4 linked regions of the Drosophila melanogaster genome follow. The protein of the gene in region 1 interacts with the protein of each later gene in a pairwise test. Each region holds a gene or a part of one and is shown on either strand. Other genes may lie near its edges.

Region 1 (6,955 bases):
GTATCAAATATTTGATGAAACATATTCAATATGTGTGTTCCTACCAATGTGGGATCAATGTCTGGCAACTGTAACAGCTTGTTGTACATAGTGTGCACCTTCTCGTACTTGAGCCGTCCTTCTTCAAAGTCCGCATAGGCAAAATATAGCAACGCATTTCGGTTTAGCACGCCGTTTATAGACCGTTCCAGTATATTAGCACACTCGTCCGCAAAAATCTTGGCCGCCTGGACGTCCTGCAATGTTTTAATAAGTAATTAAACATGTAAATACACAAAAGTTCGACTTAGTTATAAGAGTAAAACGCGTGCGGCCTGGCCAGGGGCAACGGGGCAAGCCACGGAAAGCCATCTGTGTTGTGCCACTGCGTGCTCCTTTACCCGAGGGGCGACACTTCTTAGCAAACAAGAGACTATATTTGATTCGTTTTTGGTTTTGACCTTTGCCCACCACCAAGCAAAGGCCATAACCCACTCTATTTGATTCACTACAGGAACGCAGAGAATAGGTGAAATGTTTTCAACACTAGTACGCACGCCTTTTTCGGTGAGCACGCGAGCACTGGTGTCCAGGAATTGGGAGGCCTGGTGCCACACTGCCGGGTGGTGGGTGAGCACCAGCAAACATTGCTCCGTGGCGAACATGACACGACGGGTTACTAGGGCCGTATCTTCAGTGCGCAAGGGATTAGACTTCTCATACGTGATAAAGCGCTTCCACAGCTCCACTTGCTTCACCTCCTCTTTTGTGAGTGTGGGTGGGACGGCTGGCAGATTGCGATTGAGACCCTTTGTGTGGTATTCCAACTCTTTGGCAACACGACGAGCGTTCATGTAATCCCTGGTTTTAAGTTGGAATTTAGAAAGAACATTTAGCAAACTCTGCGTATAACACTCACTTAGATCGCTCCAGACTCATCTTCTCTGATATAATCGGGTTTATGTTTTGCTCGAATGCGATATAGTCCTTCCACAACTGCTCGATGCCCACGATAGGTGTGACTACAGCCTTTTGATAGACGCGGCGCACTGCTGTGATCTTTTGGTTCTCTGCATAGTTGCCCACTGCTTCAACGCCCCGCAGAAAGTATATGTAATCCTGCCAGATGCTGAACGAGTGTAGATCCATGCCGATTTTCTCCAGTGCAAAATCATAAGCCTGGGCCATTTTTTCTCTGAGAAAAGAGATAAGTCCAATAAAATAAGCGTGTCAGAATAACACAAATGTTGTGCATCAAAAAAAACAATATGCTCGCTGCATTGCAAGTTTTGACTAAAATTATAATAGTTTCTAAGATGTCAAATTATGTGAATTATTTAAATAAGGTATAACAGTTACTTGTGAGTACTTAGACCCGACTTGGTTTCCTTCACGTAGGTAAGATAGAGCTTCCAGAGGTCGATGTTCAAAATCTTGACTAGGCAGCGTTGAAAAAGTTTCTCCACGCGTTCATAGTACCGGCTGCGCATCTCCATCTCAATGTATAGCTTCCAGTACCGAGCGGTTGTCGGAAACACATTAACTAGCGACTCGTAAAGACTGCGTACTTCGTGGATTGGCCGCGTTTGGGCCTCTCGGATCATGACACTCCAGGACTCGATGTCATAGGGCCGCAGCTCCACCACTTGCTGAGCTCGCACCAGGCGCTCCATGCCCCATTCCTTGTCATCGATAAGTAAAAATATGTTGTTACCATCCAAATAAAGCCAATGTTTTACTTACTATGTCGACTTTGATAAGGTCTCTGGCCGAAGACATTGCTAATAGTCTTTGCAAATTGTCGTTGAGTCCTGCTTGCGCTGCTCCTTGGCCCGGGAAAGTTCCTTTCTTCCGTTGAACTTTCGCTACGCAATTACCTAAAGCAACGCTTGGATGCCGCTTTTCCGAATTCTTTTAGAAGTTGCAATGCGGCTGCTTAGATATCGACGACTGATTGGATGTAACTGCGATAGTGTCATCGCCAATCACATCGCGGGCCTTACCATTAAAATCCCAAGATTTGGGATGTGTAGTACAGCGGTCACTGATTATAAACTATAAATAAAAAAGATATATGGTTTTAACATACTTTAAAGGTACTAAATCTGTAAATAATGAATTCAAGCAGAAGCAATATTTTTTATAGCTTGTTTCCACTGAAACATTTTTCTGTACGTTGCTAAGGTGAAGGTTGTTAACAGATACTTTGAACCGTTTAAGTTCTATGTAATAGTAAGTAAAAGAGGTAATATTTAATAAAAAGGCATTTTTAGGAAGCCTGGAATTGTATGCCTAGTAGCGTAACTAGGTACGAATTTTTCCTGATTACCCTATAACATTATACATTAAAACAATATAACATAATATGAGGTAAAGGTATTCTTGGTATTGTGGTATTCGAACAAACATAACTATGAAAACACACGAAAACATTATAATTTAAGTCAATGGATTGTTCTTAAATGTTTTAGACACGAGTCCAAGTGATAACAAAATTCAACAAGGTTAACGGAACTTATTTTTTGCTATAAGAAATAGAAAGTGAAACGCACCTTTCTTCAGCAACTGTAGTGTTAAATTGTTTTAAGAATTTACTTACAGAGAAATGTTTTATTGAAATTTAATTTTTTCTTTTGTTGTTTCTTTTTCATGTTGAGGGTTCAACATTCCCACAATTTAACAGTTTAAGGAATACCCAGAATCTAACCCTAGAAATAGATTGGTATATTTATCGATATTAATTCAGTACCAGTATGCGGTCACATTGGGTAAGTGTCAAAAAAGTTTTAAAACAAACGCTAAACAATCAGGAGTGGCAATCAAACGAAACCAAGCGCATTTATTAGCCGAGAGATAATTCGAGTTAAATTCGCAACTAGTATTAGTATCATTCATTGAAACCGATTTATTAAACTGCCAAGGTAGACAAGACACACACACATGTGCGTGTTTCCGGAGAGCATCACAATCATTGCAGACCTAGAGGCCAACAGCTGTTGTTGATGTCCTAGCGGTATATTTACGGTTTATAGACTTCGACAAGTTAGTGAAATTATTACCGTTCCTGGGTCACTCTCCCTTACCTAATACCTCTGTGGGTGTGTGTGCTAAGGCGCAATAAGTGTGTCACACTGACGCGGTTTTGTGTTTCAAAGTAGAACAAACACTGTGTGTGTGTATCCCTCACATATGCATTAGCTTTGTCTCTGTTATATTGGCCAATGTTTATTCCTGCATACCAGAAATAAATAAACAAAGAAATCATTCTCTAAGCTGTGTTGCAAGCACAAAAAAAATTTTGTCTGCAACGATAAGTTTTTCCCTTGATACAAATATTTATATATCTTTTGAGCCATAGCGTTTTTTCATTCTGCAAAATTAGTTTTATTCAATGTGGTTTGTATTATGTGTTTTTGACTATCAAAACTATCAAAAAATCGTGTATTAAGGGGACTTTATACCGTAAAAATGTATGTTGTCTTACTAAAATATTTTTGTTATAAAAACTTAACTTTCAAAAGGGATTTAAAGCGAATGCAACAAAACTCATTCATGAAATATACCTTATTTTGTAGCTTATTTAATTCTTGTTTAGATAGTTGTAATTAAAAAGTGCATTCTTTGCGATTTTCGGAGAAATTATAGTTTTTAGGTCCTTACCCTACTTGTTCAAATGCAGAGTAATTTTAGCTAAAAGGGAGTTAAAAATGCCTGTTGGTGAATTGATTCATTAATTTGTTATTATGTTTGTGTTTACTTTTTTGTAAAATAATTCAATATGCAACCACTACCACGAAATCAGTTGTTCTTTGCTTGGACTAGAAAAAGCATACGAAATTAGGGAAATACCTATACAAAATTAGTTAATTAAATATAAGAGGCGGTGCCACGGCCACAATTTTTGGTATCATAAAAGATAATGGCAAAAAAATTTAAATATCTTTATCCGTTCTAGAGTTACAAACTACAACAAATATAAGGGGCGGTTTCAGAACGGATATATTGTAACCCAATCTGAATATCTTTCAACGTCCTGGAGTTATTCATTTTGGGCAGAAAAAGTGGTAAAATTTCACATAGTGGTACGTGGGCAAGTTTTGAAATATTCGCACACCCTAACGACGGCAAACCGCCCAAAAGGTTCACACCCACACTTTTGTGAAATGTTATAATTATTTTTCATTGCATTTTTTGATTTTTTGCTACTTTGTATCGCTTTGCCAAAATACCTCCACCATCTCATTCGAACGCCAACCAAATTTTTTAAATATGTTTAGACTTTTTTATTTGGTTATTATACCCGTTACTCGTAGAGTAACGTAGATTCGTTTAAAGGAATGTAACACGCAGAAGGAAGCGTTTCCGACTGTATAACGGATCAATAGCCGAGTCGATATAGCCATGTCCGTCTGTCCGTATGAACGTCGAGATCTCAGGAACTATAAAAGCTGGAAGGCGGAGATTTAGCATGCAGATTCTAGAGACAAAGACGCAGCGCAAGTTTGTTGATCCATGTTGCAACGCCCACAAGCCCACGAAAAAATGCCACAAGCACTCTTTTGAAAAATATATTGATATTTTTTCACATCTTTATTAGTCTTGTAAATTCCGATCGATGTGCAAAAAAAAACTGTTTGCCACACCCACTGTGACGCCCTTAAGCCGACAAACCGGTCACGCCCCACTTTTGAAAATTGTTGAAATTTTTTCTCATTTTATTCCCCAACATCTTTTGGTATCGCAGAAAAATATCTGGGTTAACGGGTATCTGATATTCAGGCAACTCGACTATAGCATTCTCTCTTGTTATTCTAAACAATTTTATGGATATGACAATCAAGTTTCAAAGTTTCTCCCTCGTTCTCCCCTTAGTTGAGTGGCGCTAGTGGAGAAAATCTATAGCGGTTCCTTTTGTTATTTTAACTTTTTTCCTAAACTAATTTTCCATAACAGAGATAAATTAGTTGGAAATTGTCAATATATTTCTAAATTAATTTGCTTTCTTTAAATATCAATTTATTTAATAGATAGAAAATTCATTTCGTCCTGTCTGTGTTACCAAAATATTTAGAACACTTAACAAAAATTCATATAACGTTCTGTTATATGAATTGCTGTTTGATTAACGAATGATTAAAACGTTTAAAACGTTACGTTTCGAAAATCAGAAAAAAGGAAAGAAATGCATACATTATCTTAACTTCAAAGCTTTTAAAGTTTTCGAGGTGACAGCCCCCTTACGGACAGACAGACTTTACCATATCAATTCGGCTAGTGATCCTAATCAGGAATATTGTACATATATATGTATATGTATACCGCATTAAAAGAGCATACAAAAAATTTCTGAATTCTACGACATCGAAATACAAAATACAAAGATAAAAAATACTTGTAGAGTAAAAGGGTATAGTTGATTCGTTGGAAAGTATGTAACAGGTAGAATAAAGCGTTTATAGCTTCAGTTTCAGGAACTATAAAAGCTAGAATGTTGAGATTAACCATTACCACTCTAACGCCCACAAACCGCCCAAAACTAAAAAAATTTGTTTCATGGTTTTATAAGTCTTGTACATATCTACCAATTCGCAAAAAAAAATTTTGGCACGCACACTCTACCGCCCACAAACCACCCAAAACTGTCACGCCTACATTGGAATAATTTTTAAATTAGTTTCCATTTTATTATTTTGGTTTCCAATTTCTGCCGATATTCTAAAAGACATATTGAAATATGTCGTTCCACCTGAGTAACGATAGCTGGGGAACTCGACTATCGCATTCTCTATTGTTTATAACTCATTTTATGGAAATTATAATGATAATCGTCATCAGAAATTTGTTCTGATTTTTTCCTGTTACCGTCGGTTAACTCAACTTGTTTTTGTTTGTTAGTTTATCGGGCCAAAAACCGATTCGTTCAAGCTACTTTTCAGCCATCTTGTATAACCGGTTATGATACGAATTTTCTTTATAATTATGTGGTGCATTTTTTTAAAATAATCCCTGGGACATCGTTAGATAGTGTCTTTCGACGGCTTGCGAGTTCTTGCTCCTAGATTGTATAACTCTGGACCTATCCAACAACTCTACTAACGATTTTTGACATAGTTCGTTCTGTCTCGTTTATTCTGTCTTGTTTATCGTGAGTCGAGATGTCCAAATTGGACAAAATTGGCTTGTAAAAGAGGTGTTGGTGTATGCAAAAGTTGGTGTTTGCAGTTACAATGGTTAACGACATGAACGTTAGTAATTTTTCTATCAAGGGTGGACCACGCCCACTAAGCCTAAGTGTGTTTGGATTGTTGGGTGTGGGTGTGGAAGTAAAAGAGGGCACTAAATGTGAGAGTAGATATAGTTGGCTGTGTTCGTCGGGATCTTTTCAATTTAATTTGTCTACCCTGAATTTTTTTTCACGGAGCAGTAATTTAGTGATTATCGTTTTTTTCAGTCGGGTCATTCGGGGGGAACCGTACTAAAGAGTCTACTTTGTTTACTGCAAAATTCATTATTATTAATGATATGATTAAAATGAAGTTTTTTATTTATAATCGAACACAATTTTTTGTGTACCAAAATTATTTTAGTGGTTATACATATTTAAATGATTTTTTTGAGGGTATTAATAGATACAGTTTAGCAACCCAACAATTCAGCCTTTCGTTACTTTTTCAACTCCAATCCGATGTCAAACAAACAAAAATAAATCGCGAGCTGACGTGATAACAAATAACCGCAAACTGCTGTTGCTAACAGAAATTGTATTATTCGGTTGTTCAATAAATGTTCAGTCAAATTCGGATACATTAGGCGAGGAGGAGAAGCCATCAATCAGTCAACCTACGCAGTTTACATTGTTGGATCCGACGAGCAAGTTGGCTTGAAGCGCGCTAAGCGGTCTAATATCCCGTCTGTTGGCTTGATGCCGTAAAATTTTCCAAGGGCCTGAGGCATGTGCTCCTCTGTCGGCCTGGTT
Region 2 (4,733 bases), on another chromosome or scaffold:
CCATTCTGCACAAGCTGGAACAGACCAAGGAAGCCCTAGAAGATGCTCTGCCCATTGCTCATTTTCTGAAATCTTCAGAGTTGATTCTCTTCATAGAGAACTGCATGGCGTGCAACACGGAGGATTCGATCAACAAGCGGGCCACCCTAATGCAGGCTCGCCGCGTGAGCAAGTCCGAATCTGTTGCCACCCACTCGCTGGTCAGCGGCCAGGATGTCGACTCCCAAGGTGGTTAATATTATATACTTGACTATTTTACATTTGTTTTACTATTTTACGGTTACACCAAAGAAATAAATATAAATTTTAAATATTTGTGTTTTAATTTAACTTGTTACTAAATGTTAATTCTATATTTAAAGAAAGTAAATGTGCTCGTAAAACGTAAGTGATTTCGTTCATTAACATTTCTATTTAAACTAAAGTTTATCCCACGTAAAGTTCGTAATGCATTTGCTATCTTCATGACCAGCAATAAAATGGCGACGTGTGATTAAAACTTTTACTTTGTCCCACATTTTAAGCAAAGGCTCTGAGAGAAACACACACTAACTTATATATTGTACATATACCTGGAGAAGAGTCGTAAAAATTCTATCAACTCGATTAAATTATAACAAGTGGATTTTCATGTTTTTGTGCCGCATTTATGTGTTTTTATTGTGCTAATTTTATGCCAGTCCCGCTGGCGCGGCGAACACCTCAAGAAGCAGCTCCTTTTGCTCCTCGTGCTCCTTGGGCAATTTCGGCAGAGAACTGGCACACACACACGCGTGTGTGTGTGTGTGTGTGTAGATAGGCACCTGGTGGCACCTGCAATAATACTTGGCACACATTTAGTGGCAGCATTTAGTGGCACACTGCGGTCGCAGGATCCAACGACGAAGTTCATTCTTGCGACATTTCCACTCTGGCTCTCCCGCCGCCGCCGTACTTGGCAAAGTTTTTGGCCTTCATCCTGCCGCTTGCCACTTTTTTAACAACCACCCACATGGCACGCCTACCCACCTGCCAGCTATTGCCTACCTGGTTTGGTAGCCTCGGCTCGGCTTTTGTCTTATCAAAGTTTTTGGCGCGCATGTGTTTATGCCACAAATGGCACTTTTGCGGCAGCGCATTTTATTTTTTACTGCCACTTTTCGCCATTTTGCTTTATCATTTTTATATATATTATATGTGTCTATACAGAAACAGTGCCAATAGGCTTGGTTCTGACCAAAGTTCAACCTACCATTGTTGCATTTGGACAACACTGCGTATACTCTATTTATAAACCCGAACAGTGGATTTAAATTTGTTCTAATTGAAATATTTTCATGGCTTGTAATAAGGAAACTTATTTGCCTGATTTGTAATATTTTTAATGGATTCTTTGCCTTTACTGCAGTTCTTAACTGTTGCTTTACACTGGTTAAAACAACAGTGCTCCCACTTCCCCTTTCCGGTTTTAAACAACCCTCCCAATAATAAATCTGCGTGAACCCCATTAACCCTTTAGTTATGTTCTTGGAGTCGGAGGAAAGTAACGACTCTATTAGTAGAGGAATTTAAATTGCCGCCTAGTTCGTTTTTATTATCCTCGAGGAGGGAATGGAACCTCCGGCGTAAGGTGCGCAAGCCAACTAATGACCCTGTATTTATATGACAGGGGAAAGTTTATAAATATTTATGGGGTGCTGCTGTTGCTTACTGTTGTTGCTGGCTTTCATCAAGCTAAAACTCATTTGCTTATTTTAAAATTCCGAGCAGGCGTAGTTTCATTTTTGACACCCGGCATTCGTCGCCGGTCCCCCAAAACCGATGTTCCCCATCCGTTCCTTTTTTAGGGATCTGCCGCACGTTGTTGCCATTGTCACGCACACACGTACTATATTTTTTACGCGCATATCATATTACACCCTCCAAACACACAGGGACATTCCCTTGCCTTAAAGGACCCTCCGACCAACCGACCAGCCAACCAACCAACCCCTTTCCCAACTGGGGATGCTACGGGGATCCATCGAGGTTTGGGGACCCAGTCGAAGTAAATAGAATCACGTACACTAATTATCATCGCCATTGCACGAAGGGCGCTCAAAAATATATATTTTTATTAATTTCAGCAAGGTAACGCCGCTCTAAAAGCCAACCAACCACCTTACACATACCCCATCTGCGGTGTTGGGTGAAAATTTTAATTGAGATCTCCGCTATTTGATAGCAACGAGGAACTATTCGCCCGAAATTGATGTGGCCGCTGATGCTGATGGGGCCACTCGAATGGTTGGTTTTGAATGCAAAATGCGTCGTCGGATATAGTTTTGAGTGCTCAGATAAGGTGGCATATATAATTAGCTGCCCCATTTGGCATTATGCGACATTTGTGTGTTTCAAGTTTCCCCCGATAGTTTGTGTAATGTGAGTCATTCATTTGATAAAGTCATAGGGGAATGAGAGTGCCGAACACGAGTTTAATTAAAGTGCTAATCTGACTCCAAGTAAAAGTAAATAACAAAGAATAGAGTATAAGATAAAAAATATAAAAATATAACCAAATATATAGACATCTTAGGGCTTGGAAAATGATGATGACGTTGTTTGTTGAATTGCAAGAAAAATAAACATCAGATAATACAGTATACAGCAAACCCGATAAAAATTATCAGTATATTATCAGATTTTGCATAACTTGTAAGTTACAAGAAAGGCCTTTGTTTATTTGAACAACAACGCTTGAATGCAGCGAATTCATAAATAAAATCATGTAATAAATAACCTATCGATTTTGTAGTTTTCTATCATAAAGCTGGTTAGACAACCAAGGTGGGACCCCAACGAATCGCTAGGTACTTCACACAAATCGCTGGCCACTGATAAGAGTTCCAGTTGCTTTTATCTATAGATAACACCCATAGCAGAGATTGCCGAGAGCGCGGCTATAATAGCACAATCCCAACAATATGACCAGTGCCGAACTAAACGCGTGCGGTGCAACAAGTACATTTTATAATTGAAAACAACCGGATTACAACCAATCGAAATGGACCACAGAACTCGCGTTGTGGAGGTGGTGCAAGTGCCACCCCAACCCTCGACCACGGTGATCGTGCAACCTCCTCCGCCGCCGCCTCCTCCCAAGGATAACAGTTGCTGTTGTTGTCCTTGCTGCCCCTGTTGCTGTCAGTGTGGCGAATGCTGTTGCTGCTGCACCATCATGTGAAAGACGAAGGTGCCCGCAGGCAAAGGACCTCAGAACCCCTAATTCGTTACGTTAAATTAACTTTCTATGTCTATGGAGGCCGCAAACAATTCACACAGTTTTTTCGTGCAATAAAATTTTACGATTCGTTATAAATAACTCTGTGTAGGGCTCACACTGTGGTTGCCATTTTTTTTGTGGCGAAGGGAACACGCTTGGTAACATATTGTCTTACATAAATCCCAATGCGAAAGTACCACAATATAATAAAAAGCCAAATTTAATAACATCCCACAAAAATTTGTAGTTTTATGATGCGCGAGCAGGGGGACAATCCTTTTTGGCTGCTGGAAATGCTCACCACATCATTTCAAAGTTAGTTCACATTCCGAGTTATTATTTATATGTTTCTCAATTTGCCAATAAAAGCGGAAAATGTGTCAAGAGTGCTGCCAACTCCGGTTCCAGGCCCATGCTGCTCTCATTTGATAAAGGATTTTATGACTCTTGGCTCTTGAATTGCAACCGCAGCGTCGGAGCTCTCGCCCCAAATATTTTGACGAGGGTCCCCAAAGTGGGACATTATGTGGGCGGGAGTCGGACAACGAATGCGAGTGCCTTTTTCCAAAGTTAGTAGTCTGCTCATTTAACATAATTTCTGACTCGCAATGCTTCTTTGCCAAACGTTTATCTAAAGCCCAAACCTTATTACTCATACGCACTGTGATAATTCAGACGGAAAACCGTGGTATTGATATCGAAGTGAACAGGCTGAAAAAATCCCATAGTTTAACAGAGTAGGAAAATTTAACACTTTTAACCTGTTTTCCAAGTTTAATATAAAATACTTGAGATACTTGGGCTAACATGTAATCTTAATAAAAATGGAAATACCAGTACTGCCTTTTTTAGAAAGCGGTTGGGGCCAAGTTTAGAAACAGCAAGTGGTGTAAATCGCTTGAACGAATTTTTAAAATCCAAAATAGTCAATTTGCTGCATTGGTTATTGTTAGTTACGATTGATATTTTTTTTATTGATTTTTTACATTATATATTTATTTATTTAGCTTGAAAGAAATTAATAATGGGGTACAAATTTGGTAAGTTTGAGCCAATGTTTATCTACACATAATATTTAGAATATTTATCTGAGCGACGTTTTTAAAAAAAATTGGGTGTGTTTTCCAATGAATATTCAAATGTGTTCCACTGTACCTGTAGTTTTTCTATGTTATTTGCGTGTACACAAATTCGTAATCAGGGCAGGGCATTGATCAAATGCCTACCGGCTTTAGATAATAATGAGTAAGATATTTCCACCAAACCGCCAACCATTTGTGTTCGATGTTTCAGTTAAAGGCGTGTTACCGAACGGGGCTCACTTAGTCGAGCAGTTTAGGCCAGTTACTAGTTATCAACTAGGAGTTTCCGTCATTAAATTAGTAAAAAAGTAAAACAAGGAGAATGTACAACGCAGGCTACCAGGTGGACGTGATCGATCCCTACTATCAGCCGCCCGTGGAGGTGGTGAATGTTATTGGACCCCCGCCCC
Region 3 (4,864 bases), on another chromosome or scaffold:
AATGAATGAACCTCCAAACATATTTTGTATACAGGGACCAAAATAATTACAATTTTTTACAACATTTTCTAAACTACTCAAAGTAATAACTCAGCACTACCAAAACAAGACTGACATGTGTTACTGTTGAAACACACTATTAGATGCCTCGAAAAAGATTTTTGAAAATTCTAAAAACTTACCAGCTAATGGCCAAACTGGGAGACAGACACACGGAAAAGTTAGGCTAATGAAAATTCCGTAAATAAGACATGTTCTTTTCTTCTAAAATGAAAACTAATTAATATACCGCCAGGATTTTATATTCTTAAACTTCACCTCATCTAATGCAAAGCATAGTAGAATCGAAGATACTATCTGACATAGCATTACGACAGTGATTCCCATAACAACATCTTTGTCAATAGTTCCGGCAAAAGTGTGATATTTGAACTGACGTCTCTGGTGATCAAATGGATAATTTACTGAGGGAAAAATATAAACATTAGCTGGCAAAACGTGTACTAACTGACCATAGCAATCCAGAATGTAGGCGTAGAAACCGAAACCACTCATTAAGTTCCACGAAGCCAGAGTTGCGATGACAAACCAACGTTGATTTGATCGATCTGGCATAGTGTACCTGCGTTTTTGTTCATAAAAAATGTATTTTTTTTTTTTAGTAGGTAAAATATGCTGAATAACTTTTCCAGGCCCGCCCCAATGGAAATCAATTTAGCGTCAGGTTCAATGGACTTTTACGACAAGTGCGTGTCAGCTGGATGAAAAACTAATTGCGACCATTAAGGCCACGCCCCCTCTTCGAGGGCGAGGCGGTTGCCAATGGCAGCGGCGTTGGTGCCAAACTTTGGCCGTAACTGGAGCACTCAATAAAATGTGAATTAGCCCGGCGGAGCCGGCATTAATGGTCCGCGATTCGGGTCCGCAATAGGAACCTCTCCATTTCCCCGGAAGGTGGCAGCTTTGACACGCTTCCAAGTATCAATGCGATTGTTTTTGCGGCACGCGAACAAACTTTAGTCTTATTTTTGTATGTTTTTCAACTGCAGTGCATCGAAAGGTAGTGAATTTGAGTCCTTTGACTGCGGCACGGTAATTGCGTTAATTTCGCTCGAATTACGTTTCCCATCATTGTTTCTGCCACGGCGAACCAACCACGCCCCCATTTGGCTGTCTTGCATGTTTGGCGGCACTTTTGTGGTTTTTTTTATCGAGTCTCCTTGCCCCTTGAGTCCTTCGATATAGTTGCATGTCGACAGCATTATTGGTGCCCTTACAATTTATGCGAATTATCCCCTACCTTTTATGCACCCAGAAATAGAAATGTGTAAAATTTAGACAAAATATTACCAAGTCTATGCATATATTTGCGATGGGTTTCTATTTTACAATTTTTATCTAATATTTTCAGTGTACAATGTCGCCTGCTAACCTCTCGCAGTTCACTGCCTCTATTAACTTGGCTTCATGGTCTTCGAGCACTAACATTCTTCTACAACATCGACGATGTCATTATCCTCCATGGCCAAGGAGTCAAATGTGTCCTCCTCCTGGATTTTCTCACCATCGAAGGCCAGGATCAGAGACTCAGTAGCAACTCCAAATGCCTGGGCATATTTTTGCCTAAGAAGTGCGGCCAAAGGTTGATCCGTTCTCACATGGCACCGCAGTTTAGGTAGATTTGAGGATAGAAGCCAAATGGTTTTGCTTTGATTGGCCATTCTATTTTACATTAGAATTACTAGGAGTGTATTTAGATAGTGATAGGTGCCACGTGGCCTTCTGATCGGCCGACTTCATTTCATTCATTTTTTGGAGCCACATCATCAGTGGCAGAAGGGCTGAGATTTATGATCAGTTGCCGGCGTAGCGCTTACCAATAAATAAGTTCGATAAGATAGTGGTGGCGAATAAGTAGCTGGGACTATTCTCAAGTCACCATCGCACTTGTCTCATATGGTACACACGTATGGGTCACCCTATCTCGCTCGGAAATCAATGGGCTATTCAAGGTGCAGACGCGGGCAAGTAACACAGTACCAGGCAGACTAACCGCAATGCACCTTGGGGCTAAGTCTATTATAAAATGCTGGAAATAGAAAATAATGAAAAAAAATATATATACTTCCTAAATACCCTTTGGTTAGGGAATTGGTATTCCTAAATACCCTTAGATAGGCAAGCTATCTAACTATCTAATTATATATTATAAGTACAAAAGTACAAAAAGTATAAAAGTATTATAAAGTACAAAAATTTCATTATAAAGTGCAAAGCTTTAACCACATTTAAATATATTTATACTTTATACTTAATTTCCCAAGCCCATTAACCTTTGAGCTGCGAGCAGACCATTATAACCAAGATCAAGCAAAGATCAATTTGACAGATCATATTGTGAACCACTGTGCACGATAGCCAGCGCTATCTAAACGAATTTATAAATATTATACGAACATATACTATAACGGCGACAGCGAATTTCGATAGAGCTTTGCGAGACAATTCGGGGAATGAGTATATGCGCCGGCAGTCAGTTCTTAAGCGGCTTTCTGGTTGCACGGTCGTGTTTATTCCGAATTCGGGTTAGGAATCACAAACCATTATCTCTTCTGGGAGGTGTACGAGGTGGCTAATTTAAATTCATAACGAGGGGGAGCTAATTGCGCCTGTGGCCAGAATGAAGTGCCTGATAGTGTTTGGTCTGATTGTGGCCCTGTTTGGTGCCTTCGTGGGCTATGGCTACGTGGTATTCACGGAACTGACCAAGCCCCTGCCCAAGCCGGAGTTCAAGGATGATACGTACTGGGGTCCCGGCGATGCCAAGGACTTTGTGCCCGACGAAAAGATCTACGAGTTTAAGCTGCAGGTGCCGCAATCGGAGATCGATGATCTGCGAAAGGAACTCAACCGCACGCTGAGACTAACCGAACCGCTGGACGGAATCGCCTTTGAATACGGATTCAACACCTATGCACTGGAGCAGTTTGTGGACTACTGGCGGGACAATTACCTGACCAAGTGGGATGAGCGCCAGGAGCTGTTCAACTCGTTCAAGCAGTACAAGACCGAAATTCAGGGGTGGGTACGAGTGCTTTTGTATAACATGGATGCCATGCTAAAAACGTAATACCTCCGCAGCTTGAATATTCACTATATCCACGAAAAGGTATCCGAGGAGGCTAAGGAAAAGAAACACGTATATCCTCTGCTCCTGCTCCACGGCTGGCCAGGATCGGTGCGCGAGTTCTTCGACTTTATACCCATGCTAACCAAGCACTCAAACATCACGGATTACGCTTTTGAGGTCGTGGCACCATCCCTGGTGGGCTACGGATGGTCCGATGTGAGTGTTATTTGTTTTTCAGTTGAATTTCTTCATTTTAATTATTATTATTATTATTATAACTTAAGGCTGCCACGCGTCCCGGATTTAATGCCGCTGAAATGGCCACTGTGATGCGTAACCTGATGCTGCGTCTGGGCCACAAGAAGTTCTTCATCCAAGGCGGAGATTGGGGCAGCATCATTGGCAGCAACTTGGCCACCTTGTATCCAGAGAACGTAATCGGTTACCACTCGAACATGTGCGTTCTGCACACGCCACTGGCCATTCTGAAGGGAATCTACGGCAGCTTCTTCCCGGAGAAGTACTTGCCGTCCAGATTCTTTGTGGATCATCACTTCCCCGTGTGGGAAAAATGGCTGGAGCTGCTGGAGGAAAGCGGTTACTTTCACATCCAGGCCACCAAGCCGGATACGATTGGAGCGGCTCTGACCTCCAGTCCCGTCGGCTTGGCCTCCTATATCCTCGAGAAATTCCAGACCTGCACAAATCCCGGCCTGAAGCAGGACTTTGGCGCCATAGTCACTGTCTTCGGCCTGGAGGCTGTGCTGGACAACCTGATGGTCTACTATCTGACGAACTCGGCCACGACAGCGGCTCGTTTCTACCTGGAGAACGTGTCCAAGACGTACAGGGATCTCCAGCTGGATCGTGTGCAGTCCCCGGTTCCCATGGGCTGTGCCCGCTTCCGGTTCGATCTGGCCTCGGTGACTGACTGGCAGCTGAGGGACAAGTTCCCCAACCTGACCCACTCGATGTACTTCCAGCAGGGCAGCCACTTTGCCGCCCTGGAGATGCCGGCCATGTTGTTCAATGATTTTACCGCCTTTGTGGGAAAAATTGGCCTACACGGCGAGAAGAGAAAATAAATTGTTTTAAGTATAATTACCAAACGGATTTTGTACTTTCGCTTGGGAATCGGGAGGCACATGAGATAGCTATTAAATTGGCAAGGCGACAAAAGGTCAACGTATTTTAAGTACGGTTTTGCAGTAAGGTGGTTGGGACCACCTCAGTACCACCATAACGTGGTTACATAATATTTAACAAATGTGGAAGGGAAATAGAAGGGGGTAAGACAAAATCTTTTTTAATTACATTACAATAAAACTAATAACTATAAATAGTAGGTATGGTTAAGAAGTAATTGCTTGTAATCCATGTTTGTAATTGACCGCAAACTAAAAAAATATTATTGATTCTTTATTTATATATATGTATATATGTATATTTATATATATACAGTCATGGTCAAAATTATTTTCACAAAGTGCATTTTTGTGCATGGGTCACAAACAGTTGCTTGTGCAGCAAGTGGGGGGAGGTGAAATGCAAAAAAACTTTTGCTTTTGCAAATTCAAACCTATGCAGAGTCAGATGAAAGAAGAATTGAAAAAATAACTGTTCCTATGCGCAAGGAAGAGGCAAATGAAGAGATCTTTATCAGTTGTCAGAAGTATTTGCACACGGTTTCGTCGCATCACAATTATTTTCACAACGCAATTTCTTCTTCAGTGA
Region 4 (6,771 bases), on another chromosome or scaffold:
CTTGTTTGCTGATTGTGGTTAATGCAAAAAAAGCTCGTTTTAGTGTAATTGGCCGTAAAGAACAAGCATCAAACACAAAAAGAAATGTAAACAATATTATTATCTAGTCAGTAAGCATACTTTATGTTTTGCTTTTAGAATGATGTTTCTAATTGTGGAGTTTAGCAACATTATACCTGTATTAAAACTGGAAATAAAACGCAAGCCTTAAAAACTAATTTGAAAAGCCCTATACAAGTGAAATTGCGTTTAGCAATGGAAAGAGACTCTAGTCATTGACCCGAAGAAACTGTTCTACATATCTTGTATCTTTCTCCACCGTTTCTGCTACCTGAATTGGTCCGCATAATTTGCCTTTTGATGCCTCCGAGTCCACTATCTCAACCTGAGTTGTTCCACATGTTTGTCACGTGTGGCGACTGAACTCAATTGCCCTCGAGCTCGTCCTCCTCCTCCTCCTCCTTGAAATCCCAATCCCCCCCAGCTCCACGGCAACAACTATCACAAATTGAAGTGCAGCGCGAGAATTGGAGAGAGGGAAATGAAGAGTGAGGGAAAGCACTTCCGCAGCTATTTTCCCCGCTTTCCACGAGCGAACAGTTGTCGATTGTTATTTGGAAAATGTCAAAGGCACTTGATATTGTGGTACATATCTTGCGATACGCTGAGAGAAATTAATGGGCAGTAATTAAAAAATATATATATTTCTACTCTTCGAAAAAGATTTGTTTAATGAAATAATTTCTCCATAATGACACTGATTAATTACAAAAATAAATCATTTTATGATCTTGCCTAGGGGAGGAATCAGTTTAGATGCATATCCTCAGATTTAAAACGTATACATACAGCTTAACATACTAACTGGTCAATATCTTGATTTATTGACTGGAAAGCATGATTATCTAATTATTTCAAATGAAATCTAAGAATTCCTCACTTTGCAGTGCTTGGCTGTAAACCAAGCAAGCGAGGCACCAGCGAAAATAGAAAAAGGGGCCTGGATGCGTTGCACTTGCCACGCTATCGCGCGCTCTCTCCCACTGCCATGCGGCACGTGGTGGCCTCTCGCTCGCACCGCTTTTAATTATAGCCACCTCTGCGTCGAGAAGTCGACGCTGTCTGCGAAGCGGAAGTTTGTTTAGGATATTTGGCATTGTCTGCTGGCATTTAACAAGCTCATGCAGCTGCCTGCATGCGGCGCCGTCTCTTTAGATGCCCTGACTTTCATGCCACGTCCCTGCCCGCCTGGAATATCTGCCCCATTTGGAGACAGAGACCAAATACCCCACGACTACCGAGAGTCCATGATGCGAATTATTCAAATAGCTCGCGCCGCCTTTGGAGCGGTCTGCATGCGGGCCCATACACATAGCTCGACGACTTTGGCATACAAATTAGATGCAGCGATAATCGACTATTCAGGTTGACTGCTTCAGCTCCCTGAATCACCCCACCATCCATCCACCCATCGATCCATCCAACCACATCACCCACATCCCATTCCATACAAAATCCACACACGCACTGCCTACAAAAGCTTACCTGTCACGGGTTTTTGCTCTTGAGCGCCTTTAAAGTGAATTTTTCAGTCCAAAATAATCCCTTCTTTGATATGTTTTGCCGGTGCAGCTGCAAGAGAGCAATTTTCCGGATAGATTTTAGTTTTTTTTTTTTGGCGAAATAAATTTTCAGTGACATAAATTCAACATGAAATTAATGCTAATCCTGCTGAAGCAAAAGCAGAAAATGTCGCAGACAGCAAACACGCACAGAAATAAAGACAAATGCAACTAAAATGAAAGCAGGTTTATACGATTAGATTTGGCATGGTACATGGAAATAGATATGTTGTGAAATGTGAGCAAAAATGGATTGTTTCTTAGAATTACCAACATTCCTTGATTTCAGTCATTCCAACAATTATTCTAGCTGGTAATAAACTTACCATAAAGGTAAAGGTGAATTAGTAGTATTATGCAAAAAGTGCGCTTATCGATGTTAAAAGATGTATATGTATAACATATATTATTGATATAGATATTATTGATTATAATATAATATTATATTGATATTATTGATAATAAACAATAAAAGTATTATTGTTAAATTTTCTCATAAGACCAAACAGATTATTGAGTACAATCAGTCCATTTATCGTTACAAATAATAGCTTTAGGGCAAATATATGAATTATCCTGAGATATGATTTTTGCAATATTGCCACCGCATAAACCTGGTTAAGAAAAATGTCCTTTTCATTCCGTGTCTAGACCGAGGATAAGTTTTCTATGCCAAATGCTGCCATACGGAAAGAGAATGAAAAAGAGCGCAAAAGGGCAACGGCAGAGCGAAAACTTCTGCAGCGCCATAAAAAGTCGGACTGAAATCAAAAATCAAGAGTGGAAACTTGCGGGCCAACCCCAGGAAAATACAGCCACCCACCAAAAACCACCCAACCATCCGAGCAGCAGTGCAACCACCACCCCGCGTTCACCGCCCACCGTTTGGGGGTGGCCCGCTGGCTTGGCTATCTGCCTTCTGCGAAGGACGTAGGACGCAGGAGCAGAAGGACGATGCGCGGAGCGTATCGCGTCTGGATCAGAAATTGCAGACGAGCATAATGGGATAAACTACGTGGAGCACACTCACAGCTGGGTTCAGAATAATACAATATCTATATCATGCGGAAAATCATATTCAAAAGCAATAAATCTGGATCGGCATATTTGTTTGATAGCTATAAGTCAAATAAGTAAATTTCTATAATTGTTTACTTCCTTAATGGGAAATTCTTAATATTAAAAGTAGCTGTTAAGATTATCATACTTCAGTCTTTGTGATCTTTAAGAGCAATTACATACAATAATAGTATCTTTGACATTCCTTTGACATTTGCAAATAATATCTTTAAGGATATTTGATGGCCTTAAAGGTTATAGTATCCTCTTTATTGCTTATTCATACGCGTATAAAAATCTGTAAACGATATTAATATTTCTACCGCATCTGTACACCTAGTTATAATCTCAGACAGCCGGGTGACAAATTTGACGATGGCACTAGAGAGGAAAAATACTACGCGCATAAAAATGCATAAATGGAGAACAAAGCCAGCAGGAGCTCGGGAAATTGTAGTATGTGGTGTACGAAATTTGCATTTCCACTTCATCGAAATTCGATGGCTCGAAATACCCCCACACACAGACACAGATACACACACACGCGGACAACGATAGAGCCACCCACACATTGACATCCAGACAGGCGCCAACTGGAGGGTGGAAAGCCGGCTTGTTGTGCCGGCGAAAATGCGTAAAATAACGGCAGTTGGAGTGCTTTTCCTGATTTTACTCACCGGCAATTCTCCCGTTTAAGCAGTCATAAACTTTGTTTCAATTATTTGTTTTTCATCACCAACTAGTATATTTAATAATATTTCCTCTACCTGAGCATTAGTTGCTGCGAAAATTGTAGCACAGCTTTGTGGGTAAACACTCACACACACCGACGCACTGTCGCGCACACACACACACTGAGCTTGAAGTCCCGCTAGAAAAGTGCCGCACTCACGAGCCGCGACGTTACGTCCATACGAATCCGAATTTGAATGGAGAATTCAGTTTGAGCGGTGTGGTGTGACCAGTCACGTTTACTGCAATTAAGATCATACATACGCAAAGCAGGTACGGTCACTCGGCAACTGTTAAGTTATTTCCCTGTTAACCGCACTCATTTTATTTTACAGTACTGTTAAGAAATGTAAATGCAATGTTAGAGAAAAAATGTAGCTTAAAATTATGCTATTTTATCACTTCATACTTTGAAATCTAAACAGTATATATATTCGCTCATATAAATCTAAGAATTCTGATTACTCATCTTAAAAAATTAAATGAAATAGAATAGATGGATAAAATGATAAAATACCCAAATTTTTAAAACAGGTAGTAAATAAATGTTGAAATGAACCACCCTAACATAGCGCCATAATAGCAGAGTTCCGAGGCATTTTGCAGCGGCTGAGTACGGTCCCACTATTCCACAGGATTCAACCGAATCACAAACAAAACGCGCAATTCCCTTTGATCGCAGATAAAGCGCTTATTTTTCTTGCCCAGCGATGGCGGAAGTGCTGCCCAAGAAGCGCAACGCCTGCGTCATCGTGCTGGGCGACATTGGACGCAGTCCGCGCATGCAGTACCATGCCCAGAGTCTTCTCGAGGAGAACTACCACGTGGACATGATTGGGTATCTGGAGACGAGGCCGCTGGAGGAACTGACTCAACATCCACGTTGCCGAATCCACGAGCTAACTGCCGTCCCAGTGACGAACCTAACACCCAAACTGCGCCTGCTCTTCAAGGCCTTTTGGCAGACGCTCAGTCTGCTGATGGCTCTCATCTCCATTGGCCGTCCCAGCTTCCTACTCGTCCAGAATCCGCCCGGCATTCCCACGCTGATTGTGTGCTATCTGTACTGTGCGGTCACACGAACCAAGCTGGCCATCGATTGGCACAACTACACGTACACAGTGCTGGCATTGGGAATGTCGAAGGGAGAGCAGAGTCCTCTAATACGATTGGTTAGGCGACTGGAGCGATACTTCGGCTCCAAGGCACACACACACTTCTGTGTGACGCGGGCCATGCAAGAGGATCTGCAGCAAAACTGGGGCATTGGGTAAGTCCTCATCACATCCATCTAAACGAAGTAAATAACTCAGCCGCGACTCATCTTTCAGGCCTGTCAAAGTTCTGTATGATCGTGCGCCCGCGCAATTCCATCCCATCGACTTGACTCACAAGCACGAGCTGTACCTGAAGCTGGCCAAAGACTACCCACAGTTCCAGGCCAAGGACGCCGAACAATCCGATGTTCTGGAGGCCACCGCTCTTACCCAAAAGCTGGCCAGCGGTGTTGTGCAGTACAGACCACAGCGACAAGCCGTGCTGGTTTCCAGCACCAGTTGGACGCCGGACGAGGACTTCGGTATACTGCTTAAGGCTTTGCAAGCTTACGAGGAGACTGCGCAAGCAGAGCCGTTGGTTTATCCTTCCCTGCTGTGTATCATCACCGGAAAGGGGCCACAAAAGGAGCACTATGTGGCGGAGATCGAGAAGCTGCAATGGCAGAAGGTGTCGGTGATCACGCCCTGGCTAGAGATCGAGGACTACCCCACTGTTCTGGCCAGCGCCGACCTGGGCGTGTGTCTGCACTGGAGCACCAGTGGGCTCGACCTGCCCATGAAGGTGGTCGACATGTTCGGCAGCGGGCTGCCTGTCTGCGCCTACGATTTCAAGTGGTAACTAATCCTGCCATTTACTATTATTACTTACTAACTTCTACAAATGGCTCTTTAGCCTGGATGAGCTGGTGAAGCACGGCGAGAATGGCTTCGTGTTTGGCGACCATGTTCAGCTGGCCGAGCAGCTGAGGATTTGGTTCGAAAATTTTCCAAAGAATCCCAGCATCCTGGAGACAAGAGCTGGTTTTCAGCGCAAAATCCAGGAGTTCCAGGAGCTGCGATGGCGGGAGAGTTGGCGCCTGATCGCGGCCCCCGTACTGGAGGCATTTCTATAGAGCATTTTGACAAAGATTTGACAATTACACGTTATGAGAGACTTCCTTTGATTGCTAATCGCTTTTTCTAGGCTAGTTACTACAAATTCTGTACACAAAAGAGCTTCAAACTTGCTTATGATGCTTATTTTATTTTTATAATCGTAGCCTAAAGATAAAAATAAATTGCTAAAAAAAGGAGATATATACAACTATTTATTCGCTTGTAAAGCGTGTTTTCTTAGGAGTATTATGTATTTCAATTAAAAAAGAAAATTCACGGGATGCAGTGCCGATTTTTTTTTATTTGAACACCAATATCGATAGTCTGAAATAAACATCGATATATCGGAAAATTTTAAAAACATCAATGTTTGACACCTCTAGTTGCGGACAACGGTCACACTTCAAAACCAAACCGGCTGCGCAAAAATTACTATAATTTGTAATTAAAATTAATCAATTTTATTTAGTTTCGAAAGAATGAGCACCGAGTGTCGGATCTGCGGCGAGCGCATCTTCACGCCGCACCCAAAGAACATCTTCGAGAAGCGCAATCATCGCATTCGGATGGCCATCGAGCAAATCACGGGCTTAGAGGTGGCGTCCCTTTTATTTGTTGTCCGGAATTATTCATAATCTATGCATTTCCAGATCGTTTTAGAGAATATGCTGCCCCAGCACATATGCGCTTGTTGTCTCCTGGACCTGACCCAAGCCGTAGCCTTCAGGCAGCGATGCCTGGAGACGCACGCAAATCTCCACCAGAGGATCTCCTCGAAGGCGGGTGTCGCCTCAAAAGGCTCCCCGGAGGTTTCGCCAGTGCTTAGTGATCCGCTGCTGAAACGGGAGGTGCTGGATGATACAGTAGACACCGAGGACGATAAGGAGCTACTGGACGATGATAAGGATTTAATGGATGATGATAAGGATTTCTTGGAGGACGAAAAGCCGATTTTAAGATATCCTCCGGCCAAAAAAATCCGGATCGAGGACCAAAATTTCCCGAACAGACAGTCCCCACGAGTCAGGGTCAAGCGGCTTCGTGTGCCTGTGGTCGAGAAGGCAGATAGTCCACCGCCACCTCCGCGGGAGCACGTCCGAAAGCCCAGAAAGCGGCGACCAAAACCCAAGGTCGATCGCTCGATAAAGCGATACGTGTGCGACCAGTGCGGTTGGTCGTTCAACGATCACAGCAACATGAAGGAT

Evidence for each region.
Region 2: the proteins of CG17162 (region 1) and CG34198 interact in a two-hybrid assay, tested with the Drosophila melanogaster proteins (one large-scale study listed by BioGRID).
Region 3: the proteins of CG17162 (region 1) and CG43069 interact in a two-hybrid assay, tested with the Drosophila melanogaster proteins (one large-scale study listed by BioGRID).
Region 4: the proteins of CG17162 (region 1) and tinc interact in a two-hybrid assay, tested with the Drosophila melanogaster proteins (one large-scale study listed by BioGRID).

What each region holds. Positions count from the first base shown.
Region 1 is NC_004354.4:23,092,499-23,099,453, reverse strand, and holds the start of CG17162 (uncharacterized protein), read left to right. Parts: upstream 1-2,719; 5' UTR 2,720-3,021; intron 3,022-5,844; exon of another isoform or gene 5,845-6,931; coding exon of another isoform or gene 6,932-6,955. Other genes in the region: su(f) (suppressor of forked), read right to left, coding at 45-236, 441-840, 899-1,174, 1,339-1,661, 1,723-1,758; CG17159 (uncharacterized protein), read left to right, coding at 6,932-6,955.
Region 2 is NT_033778.4:19,681,189-19,685,921, reverse strand, and holds CG34198 (uncharacterized protein), read left to right. Parts: upstream 1-2,944; 5' UTR 2,945-3,022; coding exon 3,023-3,202; 3' UTR 3,203-3,476; downstream 3,477-4,733. Other genes in the region: CG15128 (uncharacterized protein), read left to right, coding at 1-236; CG15127 (uncharacterized protein), read left to right, coding at 4,646-4,733.
Region 3 is NT_033778.4:18,859,743-18,864,606, reverse strand, and holds CG43069 (uncharacterized protein), read right to left. Parts: upstream 1,746-4,864; 5' UTR 1,722-1,745; coding exon 1,482-1,721; 3' UTR 1,330-1,481; downstream 1-1,329. Other genes in the region: CG43070 (uncharacterized protein), read right to left, coding at 74-123, 183-264, 319-464, 513-615; Jheh3 (juvenile hormone epoxide hydrolase 3), read left to right, coding at 2,681-3,081, 3,142-3,346, 3,415-4,215.
Region 4 is NT_033777.3:17,808,392-17,815,162, reverse strand, and holds the start of tinc (tincar), read right to left. Parts: upstream 3,623-6,771; 5' UTR 3,359-3,622; intron 1,633-3,358; exon of another isoform or gene 1,546-1,632; intron 1-1,545. Other genes in the region: Alg1 (ALG1, chitobiosyldiphosphodolichol beta-mannosyltransferase), read left to right, coding at 4,124-4,683, 4,745-5,305, 5,364-5,583; Odj (oddjob), read left to right, coding at 6,046-6,162, 6,217-6,771. UniProt on the Drosophila melanogaster protein: Involved in eye morphogenesis. May be essential for the normal differentiation of ommatidial cells.